Oryctolagus cuniculus: one gene and its partners. The protein of the gene in region 4 interacts with the protein of the main gene of each other region in a pairwise test. Links are inferred from orthologs where the notes say so. Each region holds a gene or a part of one and is shown on either strand. Other genes may lie near its edges.

Region 1 (3,856 bases), on a different chromosome or scaffold from region 4:
TACCTACTATTTGATTTTACCCTAGAAACAAAAGGGAGAGAATTCAAATGTGCTTTTTTTCACTCTAGACTCCTCAAAGTCAATTATAATAGATGAAGACTGTCATTGAAATAATTAAATTATTTTAATATTGTTTTCCTTATTAATGACTACATGTAGAAACCTGAACAAAACAAATATTCACCAAAAAAATGTTACTTACCCAGGTGGTAGGGGAGCTTGAGTTACAGTATTTAATGGCCTAGGGCCTGAGCCTCCAGATATGGTAAGAGGAATTATTAATCCAGATGTTGCTCCTTCAGATGTACTTGTATTTATATTTGTATTTGTGGGTGGCAGAGAGCTTGTACTTGATCCATCACTTTCAGAAGTAGCAGGTGGAGAACCATTGACAGATGCTATACAAGATTTGGGGAAAGTAGGAACACTCTTTTATTTTCCAAAATCTAAATTAATTATAGAATTTTATCTTCAAAACAATAAAAAGGTAGGGAAGGGCCGGCGCCACAGCTCACTAGCCTAATCCTCCACCTTGCGGCGCCGGCACACCAGGTTCTAGTCCCGGACGGGGCGCCGGATTCTTTTCCGGTTGCCCCTCTTCCAGGCCAGCTCTCTGCTGTGGCCAGGGAGTGCAGTGGAGGATGGCCCAAGTGCTTGGGCCCTGCACCCCATGGGAGACCAGGATAAGTACCTGGTTCCTGCCATCAGATCAGCATGATGCGCCGGCTGCAGCGCGCTGGCTGCGGCGGCCATTGGAGGGGGAACCAACGGCAAAGGAAGACATTTCTGTCTCTCTCTCTCACTGTCCACTATGCCTGTCAAAAAAAAAAAAAAAAAAAAAAAGTAGGGAAGTGAAAAAGTTTCCACTTAATAGATTTGTTCTCAATATCTTAGGTACCATTTACCCTGTGCTTCATTATTAATTACAAAGCACAGATTCTCTGGTGTCTTGATGTCACAAGAAATAAAAACTTTTAGTAATGGAAAAATATTAAAATTAAAATACCATATTCCATGGTATTTTAAGTTTACTTGTAATTTTCTATGTCCTTAAAAATACCTTTCGTATGAAATTCTGCAGATCAGAGACTAATTTTTGATGTTACTATATGAAAGATCTGACTGATATGCAATAATGTTAATATAAATAATTATTAAGCACTTGCTATATTTGCAATGTCTTTTTTTTTTTAACTTTTTTTTATTTTTTTTACAGGCAGAGTGGACAGTGAGAGAGACAGAGACAAAGGTCTTCCTTTGCTGTTGGTTCACCCTCCAATGGCCACCGCGGCTGGCGCACCGCACTGATCCGAAGGCAGGAGCCAGGTGCTTCTCCTGGTCTCCCATGGGGTGCAGGGCCCAAGCACTTGGGCCATCCTCCACTGCACTCCCTGGCCACAGCAGAGAGCTGGCCTGGAAGAGGGGCAACCGGGACAGAATCCGGCGCCCTGACAGGGACTAGAACCCGGTGTGCCGGCGCCGCTTGGCGGAGGATTGGCCTATTGAGCCGAGGTGCTGGCGCAATGTCTTTCAATGTGTTTGCTGACAAAACAATTTCTAAAGGAAGTCATCAGTATTCCAAATCTTAAAGAGCAGGAATACACAGTTAATACAATTATCTACATAAGGAGAAGGCATATGATTAACCATTAAATCATTTAATAAAATGATTTGAGGGCAATTAACTTTTGTAACAATATTTCATTTAATTACTCTGCATTTTTCTGGTCATGCATTGGTAAGGGAAATAATAAGATTAAATATTTGGGTTAATGAGAAAAATGGATATTCTATATGTAAGTGTCTAAACTGTTATTACATGAAACATACTTACTGTATAAGTTTTGCTTTAAAATCTGATTATCATTTAACACTGCTGAATTATCTGCCATGTAATGATTGTTTTTTTTTTTTTTTTTTTTTGATAGGCAGAGTGGACAGTGAGAGAGAGAGACAGAGAGAAAGGTCTTCCTTTGCCACTGGTTCACCCTCCAATGGCCGCCGCAGCCAGCGCACTGCAGCCGGCGCACTGCGCTGATCTGATGGCAGGAGCCAGGTACTTATCCTGGTCTCCCATGGGGTGCAGGGCCCAAGCACTTGGGCCATCCTCTACTGCACTCCCTGGCCAGAGCAGAGAGCTGGCCTGGAAGAGGGGCAACCGGGACAGAATCCGGCACCCCGTTCGGGACTAGAACCCGGGGTGCCGGCGCCACAAGGCGGAGGATTAGCCTAGTGAGCCGCGGCGCCGGCCATGATTGTCTTTTAAAAGGATATTAATGGGAATAAGGAACCAAATTCTCTGCTGTATGTCATGCTTACGTTACATATTTACAACCATGCAAAAAAAATTACATTCTTATCTATACAGTCTATACTTTATAGAACGTACACGTGATTTTTCTTCCTCAGCAACTTCACTCTGGGAAGAAAAATTTAGGGAAAAGGTTGTTCTTGGTTACCTACAGAAAAGATCATTCACGGACAAAATCTTAAAATGTAAAAATACAGCTAGAAAACTGACCTAGAAAGAACTTCTGAAATGTATCTGGGAATCAATTCCCAAATAGAACATTATATACAACATATACTGAAAGCTGGAATACAAACCTGGTCTACGTGGGGTGGGTGGAGGTGGTCGGGAAGGTCTTGGTGGCCTAGAAGGCTTAAAACCGCCATTTGAGAGTGATGGAGAATTATTCCCACTGACCCTCCTATTTTCACTGGACCCTGTATCCTCAGGGTCATCTGATCCATTTGTATTCACTCTGGATAAGAAGGAGAAAATAAATGCCTTTTGAATTTAAGAAAATAGTCAGCAGGAAGAGCAAAACTGAAAGTTTTACAAGTGTGAGAAAACATTCCTAATTTCAGAACAGTCTCATGAAACAAAGTTCCACTGGGTAAAGTCTAATACAACCAGACATAGAAGAGTTATTTGTGGGTACAGAAACACTTGGAACCATTCAGAACAACTAGGTGTGCTGATTCAGATTCTAAAAAATGTCTTAAGAGGAACAAAGTCGAGTTCTCAAAATCCCAATGTATTACAAAGGGTGCTACTTTATTTTAAGAACAGATAACTAGTCCATCATTGCTTCCTTGGTTTCCACTAGCTATTAATGTTATTTCACATTTGAGGCATGGCTGGCTAGAATAAAGACATATACTTATTTCTTAGGGATTGTGCACCTCTTAACACTCCAGTTCAATGGTATACAAAGTGTTTAAAAAGTTGGTGGTCAACTGTAGATGTGCCACAAATCTTCTAAAATTTTTATTTATTTATTAAGCAGAGACAGAGACAAAGACAGAGAAAGATCTTCAATGCTGTAGTTTACTCCCCAAGTGCCCACAACTTGGGCACGCTGGGGGCAGGAACCCTACTATTTAAGCAATCATCTGCTGCCTCCCAGGGTATACATCACAAAGCTGGAATCAGGAACAAAGCTGGGACTTCAACCCATGGACTCAAACCCAGGCATTCTGATATGAGAAGGAGAAGCTTCCGCCCCCACAGACTGTTTTAAACAGATGTCATCCCTTCCAAGGTATGATATCAACTGGAGAGAAAGGATGGAAGGACAGTAACAGGAATGTCAGACTACGAGCTACCACTGCTGTTACCACTTCTCCCAAAGGGATCTGCTCATGGATCAGAAACAGTATGCACTGCCAGTTTAGAGACGCCTCAGCAAAGGCTTCTCAACCTGCACCTTCAGAATAAGCCTCAACAAAATAAATCTAACTTTTTTTTTTTTTTTTGACAGGCAGAGTGGACAGTGAGAGAGAGAGACAGAGAAAGGTCTTCCTTTGCCATTGGTTCACCCTCCAATGGCCGCCACGGCCGGCGCACCGC
Region 2 (3,856 bases), on a different chromosome or scaffold from region 4:
CCCGATATGCAAAGTGTTAACACCCGGCCCAGCAGGGACTCCAGGACCCAGCTTCACCCAGCGCCCATCTGGACCAGCCTTGGGGATTAGATGTTTGTCACCCCACACCCACCGTGGCAATGAATCTGAACGAGGGAAGCCGCGGGCTGGCAGCCGGGGCGGCGGCGACGCCTGAGCTCACCTGGCGATGCCTCCGTAGTCCAGGCCCTCCTCGCCACGCATGATGATGTAGAGCCGGCGGCGCAGGTCGTAGGGCTTCATGTTCATGATCTGGGGAGACAGAGCATCGTGGCCCGCCTGCCACTCACCCTTCCACGGCAGGAAGGGGTAGGAGGGATCTCAGGCCCGCCCCCTCCACAGACACGGCCCCCAGGCTCATGGTCATAACCTGGGCACCGGGCTGATTCTCTAACCTGCTGGAAAGAATCCTCAAAAAGGGTCTGCCTGGAGACGCTGATCTTCACGTGGCTGGGCAGGGCATTGGACTGGGAAGAGAAGAGAACGCCGCACACTGAGGCCTCCGGGTGACCGGCCTACCTGGTGCGCACCTGCCAGGGTAGGCGGCCCGGCCCCGAGGCTGTCACGTGAGAGCCTGGCCCCGTGGGGACAACCAGCTGTGGTGGCACACGCGCAGTCCTGTGCCCACGCTGGGCTGGGGAAGGAGGCTGAAGTGACTCGATGCCCCCACCTGCCGCGGGAGTCCCGGGAGCACAACTCACGTGGCAGAGGAAGCGGAACTGGTGATACTTCCACCGGAAGCTTCGGTCGTAGGCACCAGGGGAGCCTTGCTTCGTCCTGGAAAGGAAAGGTGTTCCGGAAGCCAGGTGAGCTCTCGGGAACTGAGCGACCTGTCTCCATTAGCCCAGCAAAGCTGATGCCGTGTTAACTTAAAGGCGAGGAGTAAGGAATAGGAGAGAAGGGACTGCCAGTGAGGCCTCTGAAAAGCCAAAAAACAGAATCCAGAAACGACGACAGAGTCCTGCTCTGACAAACACCAGGCAGCCAAAGGCGGGGAGAGCCCTTGCTGCCCGCGGCCTTCAGCTTGCCATCAGCACTGGCCGCTAGGGGGCAGTAAGCAGCAGAGCACGTCTAGGGGTCCCCACTCCGTCCAGCAGTGGGCCTCCCGGAGCCCGCGTTGACGGGACACTGCTGGGCGTCCTGACATCCTTACCCCGACTCAAACCCTGGCCGAGGATCCTTAAAGGTGGTGGTGCGGGTGTTGTGGTCCACGAAGTACCGCACGCCCTCGCTGGTATACTTCATCTCCCAGCCCGGCGGCAGTGCCGGCTCCTGGATCATCCTGCAAACAGGAGGGACGGGGTGAAGGCCAGGCCCCGCATTCCGGGCCCCAGTGCACAGGAGGCCGGGGTCTCCCAAGTGCTGCTTTGTCTCTGCTTTCACCCAGTGCTACACAGCCCTTGGGGGTACAAGGGGGATTTAGGATATGCACTTGGCATGATCCAAGTCATGGGTGTAAAGAAGCCATCTTCTATCCCAAGGCCAAAAATCCAGCCCCGGGTGGACGGCGGTGGCTGAGTGCCCAGGCCCTGCACGTTGGCAGTGCTGGATGGACGTACCCACAACCTCTTTGTGATCAAGTTCTCAGCAGCCAGTACCAGCGGCATACAGACCAGCGACAACCGCCAGCGGAAAGGTCTACTTCAGGGACCACTTCCAAGCTCTCAGAGGCTGACACTAGATGGGGAGATGTGTGTGGCTAAAGGTCCCCAGCAGGAGCCCTGCAGGACAAAGTGGTCCAAGGCCACTTGGCCAATGCTGGAGCTGCACACAGGCCCAGCCCAGCCCCCTTCACTCCCAAAACCCTTACCCCTGGGTCCGAGGGTCTTCCCACTGGGTCGTGCGTGTATTATGGTTCACGTAATACACCCGGCCATTGTCCTGTCTCTTCTCTGCCATGGGAGAAGAAAAGAGAGGGAACAATTAAAATCCAGCAGCTTGAGCTGGGGCCATCCCGCAGCCCCGGCTCCTGGGTGCTGCGTCTGCTTTCCTGTCCGACACCAGCCTGCTGGAGAAGCGGACCCGGCCACTGGGAGACAGCACAGAATGGTCCTTCCCTGGTTGGGGTTGGGGCAGGGGCACGGACACACACACTGCAAGGGGAAGAATCCCGCACCTCTCTGGTTGTTTGCTTTGTCAGAGGAAGGGGGGCGGTGTGGCGACACAGAGGGGGCAGCCGGCTGAATCCAGGCATAATTGCATCCAGCTGTGGCAGCAGGGACGCCCTCAGCCCCAGGCCCTGCCCCACCCCGAGGCTGGCGCAGGCGGGTAATCCATCCACTCCAGGCAAGTGGGAGAGAAAACGAGGGGCCAAGGCCCCAGACCCAAAGGTGGTCACCTTTCCAGGAAAGTCCTGGGTTTCAAATCTGTTTCCATCCTGAAAACAAGGGATGTGGATGGTTCTGCCCCTTTCACAGTGAAACGCGAGGGAAGAAGTCGGACAATCCTCCCTCCCCAGAAGCTAAGGGGCACACGCGGGGGACCAGCAGCCCCCACTCAAGAATCGGGCTGCAATGGTCCCAGCGCCAAGCCAAGGGCTGATCCCTCTTTGCCTTATCTGCTCTCTCCTACTCAACTAGAATGTCCCAAGCACAAGCACTATTTATCAATCACACTCTAATAAAGCTGGAAAAACAAGTAACATAAAAATAAAAACAGGCAAGGAAGCACAGGAGGTGCAGGGAGCTGCGGCAGAGCTGCCGAGGCGGCGTGCAACTGACCTGCAGGGGAAGCTGCCCGAGAGGGTCCTGCCCGCCCGGGAGCCCCTGCTCCGAACTGTACGCCCTAGGGCCGCTCTGCTGAGGACTGAGTGGAGCCTAGCGGGGGTCTGGCCCGGCTGTCCAAGCCCTGGGCCGTTTTCCTGGCACTGCACAAATGCTGCCATGACACCTCTCCTGGCCCACAGAGCTGCCTGCGGGAGCTGGGGCAGTCTCCAGAGAGTGCCGAGCTCAACCTCACTTTCAGGAGCAGGCGGGCCGGGGCGGATTTAGCCACGAGCGAGCAGCAGCAGACGGATCTAAACCTGAGGCATCCCAGCTCCCACGGCAGTGCCTGGGACAACCATGGGTCCCAGGAGCTGAGTGCCGGAGGAACGCCGGCAGACCGACAGCATGCTCGCCACCAGTGCCGGCTCCTTTGGCCCCGCTGCCCTTCCTGCTCGTCCTTTCCCATCCCTGGGGAGGCGGCCTCCCCCACAGCCCTGGGGAAGCAACACAGAGGAAAGCCCCCGGCCTTTGGGCAAAGAGTTCTGTTTCCCGGCTGTGCACCAGTACAGTCTTATGGGTCTTTTCCGATCGCTGGCAAACAGCAGTGATTCGGCTTATGGCTTCCCTATTCTCATCTCAAATATTTTCCCTCTGAGCATCTGGGAGTTGTTTTCCAGACTCTTTAGTGGCTCTCACTTGGTGACCATCGTTCAGAACTGGCACCGAAATAAACTCACTTGACCGGGCTACACTACCTGCTTCTACAGAATCAGAAACAAACTCCAGTCCCCCAGTTTTAGGTCACCGACTACCAAATGGCATAACGGATTCTTGTTTAACCCGGCACGCTTTCCCCATGGCTGGTTTAGGTAGCGATCCCAAGTGTTTACCCTTTTACATCTGACTTACTACTAATCTCCAAGGTACCTACGGGCTCTTGTGGGCCCGAGAAGCCAGGCAAGGCCAACTATGTGCATAGGGATTCCCTAGACAGAAGTCCAGAAGCGTGTAGAAGCCTCAAGAGCTGATATTTTGCACTGGAAGAACAAGAAGGTCCCTTGAGCACTTTGGAATGCAGTGGCAATTCACCACCTGACACCCAGCAGGTCCACGGGGGCTGACACAACGTCTTC
Region 3 (3,856 bases), on a different chromosome or scaffold from region 4:
CCTCATTCCAGCTGTTCCAAATATACACATGTTGTATCTTTCCTTATAGTTGTTGCTGTCTCTATATAAACCTTCCTGACAATTGAGTCTTGGGACATGACTTCTAAAAAAAAAAAAATTAAAAACCCTGAGCTAGAGCAATTGTGTCTCTCACCCCTCTGCTTATTTTTTTTACATATCTGTCATTAACTTAACCAGAAATACTTTTCCATCATAAAAATGTCCTTTTGAAATGCTCAAGCTCTTTAGGATGTCCATCCAACTACACCTGCCTTCTGATCATCGTCCAGTCTAGACTGGGTGTGAAGCCTATCGCTGTCTGGGACTTGCCTTTCCCATCATGCTCCAATTCCTTTCTTGCCTCTCCTAGCAATCCTGTGTGTTCTTGATCCCACATCTTCCATTTGACTGTCTATTTTTGAAGTAACAGGAATCCCTTCCTAAGAAAGATGACATGGTAAGTGAATTTTTGGAAATCCAGGATGTATGAAAATGTATTTTTTCTATGCACACATTCAACAGCATGGCTAGGTAAACTTTAGGCTGGATACATTTTCCCTCAGCATTGAAGGCACTGGCCCACTGTATTCTAGTTTCTACTGTTGATTCTGACAAGTCTGATGCCAGTCTGATTAGAGTGAAGCCTACTTTCTTTTTTCTTTTAGTCTCTAGAATTTTAAAGACTTTTTCTTTGGTCAGAATATACTAATATTTTCAAAATAAATTTTCTTAAAAATAAGTCTATTTTCACTTAGTACCTAGAATTTTGGTGAGCCTTTCAATAAAATTCCTTATGTTTGTGAACAATTTTTTGCCTTTATTTTAAAAAAGATTTTATTTATTTGAAAAGTAGAGTTACAGAAAAAGAAGCACAAAAAGAGACAGAAAGATAGATGAGAGAGAGAGAGAGAGAGAGAGAGAGAGAGAGAGAGAGAAAGAGAGAATCTTCATCCACTTGTTCACTCCTCAAATGGCTGCAACAGCCAGAGTAGGGCCAGGCTGAAGTCAGAACCAGGAGCCAAGAACTTTTTCCAGGTCTCCCACAATGGATGGCAAGGGGTCCAAATACTTCAGTCATTCTCTATTTAGAGTTTTCCAGGTGTACTACCATGGAGCTGCCCTCAGAAGTAGAGCACCCAGGACATCAACCAGTGCCTACATGGGATGCCAGAGTCATAGGCAGCAGCTTTATCCACTATACCACAATGCTAACCCCTAGAAATTTTCTTATTAAATGTTCAGAACTGGTCTCTCAGCTTTTTACATCACTTCTACTTTATAATTTTATCATTTTGCTCTACTTTCTAGCAAATTATTTGCTTCTACCAGCCAAGTTTTGTACTGTATTAAATTTCAAAAGATTTTCCAGTTCTTTTAGCATTCTTTTTTTTATAGCACCTGATTCCAGCTGTTGGGGCCACCTGGGGAGTGAACCAGTGGATGGAAGACCTCTCTCTCTGCCTTTCCTTCCCTCTCTGTGTAACTCTTTCAAATAAAAAAAAAAAATCTTAAAAAAAAAATCAATCAACTTTTTAAAAAAAGATTTATTTACTTATTTGAAAGAGTTACACACGCACACATACACAGACACAGAGAGAGAGAAGAGAGAGAGAGGTCTTCCTTCTGCTGGTTCACTCCCCAGATGGCCTCAATGGCTGGAACTGTGCTGATCCAAAGCCAGGAGCCAGGAGCTTCCTCTGGGTCTCCCATGCAGGAACAGCGGCCCAAAGACTTGGGCCATCCTCCACTGCTTTCCCAGGACTTAGCAGAGAGCTGCCTCGGAAGTGGAGCAGCCAGGACTCGAACCTGTGCCCATATGGGATGCTGGCACTGCAGGCTTTACCTGCTATGCCACAGCACCGGCCCCATGAACAGTCTATAAGATTACCAGACAGCAAAGAAAAATTAAGTTTGTTAATAGACCTAGTCGGCAAGGATATGTGACTTTCTCAAGGATTCAGTACTATAATACTGAGGAAGATGACAGCTACTTATTCTCAAGTGTGAGGTCTGGAGAGTAGACCATAAAGGAAGCTAGAAAATTGACATTATTATATGAGATGTCACACTCACCCTTACCAAAGTAAACCTAAAATCAAACTGATAGAATCTTGCAAATCAAAATCAGGTTTTTTCCCCTTCATACTAGTCACAGTTCAACTAGACGAGCAACAATCCATAGTTTCAAAAAGTATGTGCCTTGTAGCTAATAAACTAATACTGCAAATCAAATTAAAAGCCAGACTTCAAGTTTCTCAACAATGAAAACATTTTACATACATATTCAATAGTTATATATTGTCAAAAAGTTGCTACATAAAGGCAAGTCAAACAACCAAAAACATCCTTAACATACCCTGATGGCAAAGTTTCTGTGTTGGCATTTCCAGACTGTTGCCGTACAGATTCCGCACACCCCTCTGGCTGCCTTAATTTGTCAAAAGCAGAACTACTTGCAGAATTAGAATGATCAGCATCTAGTATGCTTCTAGCTTCAGATCCCAACTGTGCACTGGTAGAAGGTATACATTCATTGTTTTCTGAGGAAGTGGGTATCTCTTGAACGAGAGGGTCTTCAACAGTAGTGCTAGTGCAGTCTGAAGACAAGGTGGTTTCTTCAGGTACTACTGGAGTGCCAATGGCAGAAGCATGGTCAGTTGGCGCAGATGAGGATGATTCTCCATTAACTGAGAAGGGAAAGTTAAGATAATCTGTCAAGTAATAGCAAGGCAACCAATTTCCTAATCAATCAATACATTTATTCAGAGTCTAATCCAAACTGAACAACGTACGTACCAGGTAATGAAAACATAAGATCAAGGTTATATTTTCATTGTTCACATGTAATATATAAATGATAAAATTTTACGTTTACATACTATACCTTAAGGAAAGAGAAACCACCATTACAATAACAAGTGCTTTCCCTCCAAATGATCAGTTCTGAGAGAAAGCCTGCATGCACTATATAAAAACTGTAAAATGATCCCTTACAATCTTCTGTCTCATATGCAAGTGGTAAGCTAGTACCAACACTTTTGCCAATAATGAAAAATATATGATGGCTTTAATTATGATAGTACTATAGAGAACCATAAAAAGATTCAGGAATCCATTCTATACTTTCTAAAGAAATAATTTAGCACTAAGACCTAGTGATATAGTTTTCTTACTTCATATTTCAATGAGATTAATTGACTTCAACTATGTGTTACTATGAAAGTAAGTAAAAATAAAATTGCAAGAAGAGATCATTGAACAAAACCTATTAGAAAAGTACCATCAAGGGGCCAGAGCTGTGGGGTAGTGGGTAAAGCTGCGGCCTGCAGTGCTGGCATCCCTTATGGGTGCCGGCTTGAGTCCTGGCTGCCCTACTTCTGATCCAGTTCTCTGCTATGGCATGAGAAAGCAGTAGAAGATGGCTCAAGTCTTTGGGCTCCTGCTTCTTCCAGGAAGAAGCTCCTGGCTCCTGGCTTCAGATCGGCACAGCTCTGACCATTGCAGCCATCTGGGGAGTAAACCAGCAGATGGAAGACCTACCCACCTCTCTCTGCCTCTGCCTGTCTCTAGCTCTGCCTTTCAAATAAAAAAAATCTTAAAAAAAAAAAAAAAAGGAAAGTACCATCAAAGTTCCAATGAAAATAGCAGAGGAAGACATAGACTAATGAAATCTCCAGGTAAATTTTCAAAGAAATAAAAATAATTAAACTGTAGCAAGACTACCGTACTATTCAAGAAAGTAAATGGTATGTTCCAAAGAACAGAATAAATCAAGTTCTATATCAAGCATAGAAGAGAATGGCTTTGGGAAAAAAACCATCAACATTGAAATCCAAGAAATAAAATCCAGAGCTAT
Region 4 (4,651 bases):
GCTTCTCCTGGTCTCCCATGGGGTGCAGGGCCCAAGCACCTGGGCCATCCTCCACTGCACTCCCGGACCACAGCAGAGAGCTGGCCTGGAAGAGGGGCAACCGGGACAGAATCCAGCGCCCCGACCGGGACTAGAACCCGGTGTGCCGGCTCCACTAGGTGGAGGATTAGCCTAGTGAGCCGCGGCGCCGGGAGGCCCAAGTTCTTGCACCATCATCTGCTGTCTCCTGGGATGCATTAGCAGGAAGTGGAGTAGCTGGGACTTGATCCACGCGCTCCAGTAGGGGATGCGGGAGTCCCAAGTGGCAGCATAACCATTGTGCCCAATGCCCTTCCCTCCCACTCAGACGCTGGGCATTATGGGACTGCCCACTCAGGGGTCCCTGACCACAGTCTTGGCAGCAAATTGTCTCGAGCAGGTCACTTAGGCCCTCCCTCCTGGGACGTGAGAGACCTGAGGGTGCCAGGGGAGCCAGGGGTACCAGGGGTGCACCTCTTGCAGCAGTGTCCTGCTGGTCCCCAGAACTCCCTGGAGCCCTCCTGTCCCCAGCCCGAGGTCTCCACCTTTGGCTGGAGAGCACCTGATTAGATTTCTGTTTCACCTGCTGACCTTGGTGGTCACCGAGCCCCAACTCCTGTGACCATCTGCAAACCCCAGCAAGGCAGTCCCTGGTCCCTCGAGTCCCTGTGGACTGGGGCTAGTCTTCTGCAGCCGGGGTTAGGCCTCTGCTTGGAATGCCTGCATTCCGTATCTATCAGAGTGCTTGGGACCGGAGTCCCACCTCCACCTCCAATCCAGCTTCGGGCTAATGCGCCTGGGAAGCAGCAGCAGATGGCCCAGGCGCTTTGGCCCTGCCGCCCACAAGGGAGACCCAGATGCGGTCCAGACTCCTGGCTTCAGCCTGGCCCAGCCCGGGCAGCTGTAGGCATCTGGGGAGTGGACTGGATGGAAGTTGTCTCTGTCACTGCCTTTCAAGTAAACAAACAAATGCCGCTCCCTTCACCAAGGGTTCCGGCACTGAGACGTCTCTGGGGCCAGTACTCGCCGGCAGGTGCACCTCGGCACAGCGCGGACTGAGTGGAAAACAGCCTGGTGGGGAGCGAGCCGGAGACACTGACCTCGCTGGCCGCCCGAGGGGTCCCGGGCACTGCGGGACCGCGAAAGAGGCTTCGGGTCTGCGCTTGGGCCTCTCCACTAAGGGACCTGTAAGGGCATCTGGAGACGGAGACTTCGCTCCCGGCCTGCCCGCCCGCATCTCTGGCCCGGCCTCCGCCCAGACAGCCGCACCCCGGGACCCGGGGCGGTGCGGGGCCCCTCGTGACGTCCTTCCGTGTGGTGGAGCCGGGTGGGGGACCCCAGACAGGGCGGAGCCCGCCCACATCTGAGCGCCGGGGGTGGGTGTGGGGGAAGGCGTTCCCAGCCGAGGTCCCTTCCGGTGCAGAGAGCTGGGGAGGGGGCGCTCCCCGGCCCGGCCTACGGCCCCGCCCGGCCTGGCAGGTGAGCCGCCCCGGCCCCCCGGGGCAGCAGGGGGCGCCCGCGCCTCGGTCCCCGGGGGGCCGGGGCGGGGTGGGGGGTGCGGATGGGGGGAAGGGGCGGGCCGGGGGCGGGCCAGGGCCGGGGCCGGGCGGGTCTGCGGGCCCGGGCTGCGGGCGTCAGTGAGCGGCGCGCGGGGCCGCGGCATGGGGCGGGTGCAGCTCTTCGAGATCTGCCTGAGCCACGGCCGAGCCGTCTACGGCCCGGGGGAACCGCTGACCGGGACCGTGCGGGTGCGCCTGGCGGCGCCGCTGCCCTTCCGAGGTGGGCGCGGGCTCCCCGGGGAGGGCCGCACCTGCGGCGGGAGGGGGTCGGGCGGAGAGGCGGCGGGGTCCCGCGGGGCGCAGGGCCTGGGCTGCGGGGCGGGGCACCTGGACCCTCCAGCGGCCGGTAAGCCGAGGGGGGCTGTAGACCCAGCGCGGCGGGGCGGCCGAGTCCTTCCGCATCTGCCTCTTCCTGCCCTCGCCGCCTAGGGCGGGCCGAGCCCGCGGCGGGGGGCCTAGCGCCTGTCCACCCTGCTGAGGCCACGCTGACTGTGGACACACGGAGGCCTCCGACCTTTCCTGGCCAGGTGTCCAGGCTTCTCCGTGCGCGCACCTGCCGGGCGCTCATCTGAACCTGATTTGCGCCGGGCCCCTTTCCAGCCCCCGCCCCGGGCTCCTGGCCCGTGGGAAGGTGCAGGTCCCCCTGGGGACAGCTGCTTGCTCCCTGCCTAAGGCTTCCTGGCCATCTCTTGCCCTGCCCAGTGAGCACCTGGGAGCCGAGCCTGCGCCGGTGATGCAGACAGCAAGCGATCAGGTTGCTGCGCCGCCATGGCAGGCTCAGGCCGTCATCTGCCTGTGGAGGTGTGGCTGCCTGTGGTGGACAGGGCTGGCACAGAGGTGGGACTTGGTGTTTTGGACCTCCAGGGCATGTTGGGCAGGCCTGGGCCCTGGCCGGGTGTGTGGGTGGGACAGTGTCTCTCCACCTTGGCTTCAGTCCCCCTGGTCTGCTTGGCCAAGACCGCAACTCCTCTTTGGGGCGTGACCACCCCACCTCTGGTGCCTGTTGAAGGTGGAGAGCTGATGGCCCCTTTCAGGACCCCCGACCCCAGGCCCCAGCCTTGCTAGGCCTCTTGGTGATGACCCCTGTGTCCCCACTTGGGAGTTGGGGTGGTCGTAGGTGTGGCTATGACAGGGCACACGGCAGAGATGGGGTGCACTCCCCTGGGACCCAAGCAGGGGTGGGAGAGACCCAGGCCCCGTCCACATGGCCAGGGATGCCGCAGAGCTGGCTACCTGGCTCATCTGTTGTCACCTGAGCTGTGCCTGACTGGCCTCTGCCTGGCAGGTGGGAGTGGTGAAGCAGCCCCAGCGGGTGGTCCTGAGATGGCCCTGGTTCTGAGTGGGGGAGGCAGGGTGGGTTCATGGTCTGGGAGCAGGAGGGCCTTGGGGCAGGGGGTGCCGGTGGCTTGGGGTGTGAGTGTTGATGAATGCACACGGACTTTCTCCAGCCCTGCCTGGGACAGAGAGGAAGTACCTTGGTGCTTTTTTTCTCATTCAAGAGATTGTTGTTGGGCTCTGCTAGTAGCCAGTGAAGCGGCAAGCCTGCCCTGGGCTCCCTGTCTCTCACAGGTGCATGTCCCTGAGCAGTAGGGATGGTTGGTATCTAGCCACAGGGACACTGGCTGCCCTGAGTTATGGAGACAGCCTAGGTCCTCTCCAGCCCAGGGCTGGGGTCAGGCAGGGCTGCGCTGGCTGGGGCAACACTGAGGACAGCAGCCTCGGAGCTGTCATGGGCCCGACGCGCTCTCCCAGCACCAGCTCCGTCAATGCCCCAGGGCACCCTGGGAGGTGGGCACTGTCACTGCTGTCCTGGAACAGGTCTGAAGGTGGGACACAGAGGAGGCAGCCCCGGGGGCCACAGTATGCTCAGACAGGGCTGCCCCCACAGGGTGGGAGCTGCCAGGCGGGGCTGCCCCTGGCTTGTGGGAGCCGGCAGAGTGGCACCGGTGCCTGGCCTTAGGGACCTGGATGACGAATGTGGGAGGTGCGAGGGATAAGGCTGCTAGACAACAGGAAGCACTGGTGTGTGAGGAGAGTCCTAGAAGCACTGTGGGACACAACCCCCATCAGGGTTTTGTCTGGAGAAGCAGAGCAGCCCCAAGCCCCCAACAACCGATGCCTGTCGGTTGTGCACGGCATGGGCTGGGTCCACGGGCTTGGCTCTGCAGCCTGACACCTGTGCGGGCAGAACACAGCCGGGCGTGCGCTGGTGTGAGCACCAAGCCTGCCCCGGGAGCCAACACCTGACACGGTGACTCCCAAAAAGCAGCTCTGGTGGAGGAAGTTGAGGTCTTGGTGAAGTGACCACCAAAGTCGCTTGGTCACTTCTCTCCGGTCTGTGCCGCCATCACGGAGCAATCTGCGAGGTGGGAGAGCATGAGGGAGAGACCCCTGTTCTCTGCCCGGGGGCACCTCCCTCGCTCTCCTTTGGGCATAAGTACATCCTGTGACCCTGCCAGAGCCCATGGTTTGAGAAGGCAGAGCCTGGTTGTTGTTGGCCTGGACCAGTAAAAACTGGCTCTTGGGAATTCTGCCTGGCTCCCGGGTGCTGCTGAGGTGTGCTGTCGGTATGCCCTGTGCCCCCATGGTGACCCACCTGCTGAGGAGTGGGTGGGTCACCTGGGGTGGGCTCCCTTTGCACAGTGGCCAGGGGCTGCTTGCTCCAGTGGGTCCTCTGTAGGGTGTTGGGAGGGTCACAGAGCCTGGGCCCCTTGGGCCTGACTGAGGGTCTGCTGGCCAGGTGCTGGCTGCTTTTCTGGTCAGGTGCCCCTGGGCTCCCTTGACCAAATCCTGGGGCTGGGTGCAAGCGGGGTGGTGGGCTTTTTGACTGCTGTCAGCCGTGGTGTGTAAGGCTCTCGGCTGCCACACGGCCCCAGGGCCAGCGTTCGCCCACGCCATGGTGGCACAGGGAAGACCTCTTCAGGAGGCTGAATACCTGTCCGTATGGTGGGTCAGAACAGCAGTTGTCTGGGTTTTCTGATTTCTGGGGAGGTTGGACAGCTGTTCTGATTATCTGCTGCGATGGAACAGTCACCCCAAGTTCACAGACCACCCCTAAGCTAACCAGCAAAAAC

What was found.
Region 1: the proteins of ARRDC1 (region 4) and ITCH interact in binary tests that used the Homo sapiens proteins (3 or more experiments, as listed by UniProt). The link is inferred for Oryctolagus cuniculus from reciprocal best matches to the Homo sapiens genes ARRDC1 and ITCH.
Region 2: the proteins of ARRDC1 (region 4) and WWP2 interact in binary tests that used the Homo sapiens proteins (3 or more experiments, as listed by UniProt). The link is inferred for Oryctolagus cuniculus from reciprocal best matches to the Homo sapiens genes ARRDC1 and WWP2.
Region 3: the proteins of ARRDC1 (region 4) and WWP1 interact in binary tests that used the Homo sapiens proteins (3 or more experiments, as listed by UniProt). The link is inferred for Oryctolagus cuniculus from reciprocal best matches to the Homo sapiens genes ARRDC1 and WWP1.

Annotation. Positions count from the first base shown.
Region 1 is NC_091442.1:23,652,957-23,656,812, forward strand, and holds part of ITCH (E3 ubiquitin-protein ligase Itchy homolog), read right to left. Parts: intron 2,766-3,856; coding exon 2,608-2,765; intron 399-2,607; coding exon 203-398; intron 1-202. UniProt on the Homo sapiens protein: Acts as an Acts as an E3 ubiquitin-protein ligase which accepts ubiquitin from an E2 ubiquitin-conjugating enzyme in the form of a thioester and then directly transfers the ubiquitin to targeted substrates.
Region 2 is NC_091449.1:53,024,417-53,028,272, reverse strand, and holds part of WWP2 (NEDD4-like E3 ubiquitin-protein ligase WWP2), read right to left. Parts: intron 1,911-3,856; coding exon 1,829-1,910; intron 1,301-1,828; coding exon 1,172-1,300; intron 796-1,171; coding exon 720-795; intron 486-719; coding exon 414-485; intron 271-413; coding exon 182-270; intron 1-181. UniProt on the Homo sapiens protein: E3 ubiquitin-protein ligase which accepts ubiquitin from an E2 ubiquitin-conjugating enzyme in the form of a thioester and then directly transfers the ubiquitin to targeted substrates.
Region 3 is NC_091437.1:111,703,211-111,707,066, reverse strand, and holds part of WWP1 (NEDD4-like E3 ubiquitin-protein ligase WWP1), read right to left. Parts: intron 2,688-3,856; coding exon 2,357-2,687; intron 1-2,356. UniProt on the Homo sapiens protein: E3 ubiquitin-protein ligase which accepts ubiquitin from an E2 ubiquitin-conjugating enzyme in the form of a thioester and then directly transfers the ubiquitin to targeted substrates.
Region 4 is NC_091432.1:237,733,814-237,738,464, forward strand, and holds the start of ARRDC1 (arrestin domain-containing protein 1), read left to right. Parts: upstream 1-1,603; 5' UTR 1,604-1,679; coding exon 1,680-1,797; intron 1,798-4,651. UniProt on the Homo sapiens protein: Functions as an adapter recruiting ubiquitin-protein ligases to their specific substrates. Through an ubiquitination-dependent mechanism plays for instance a role in the incorporation of SLC11A2 into extracellular vesicles.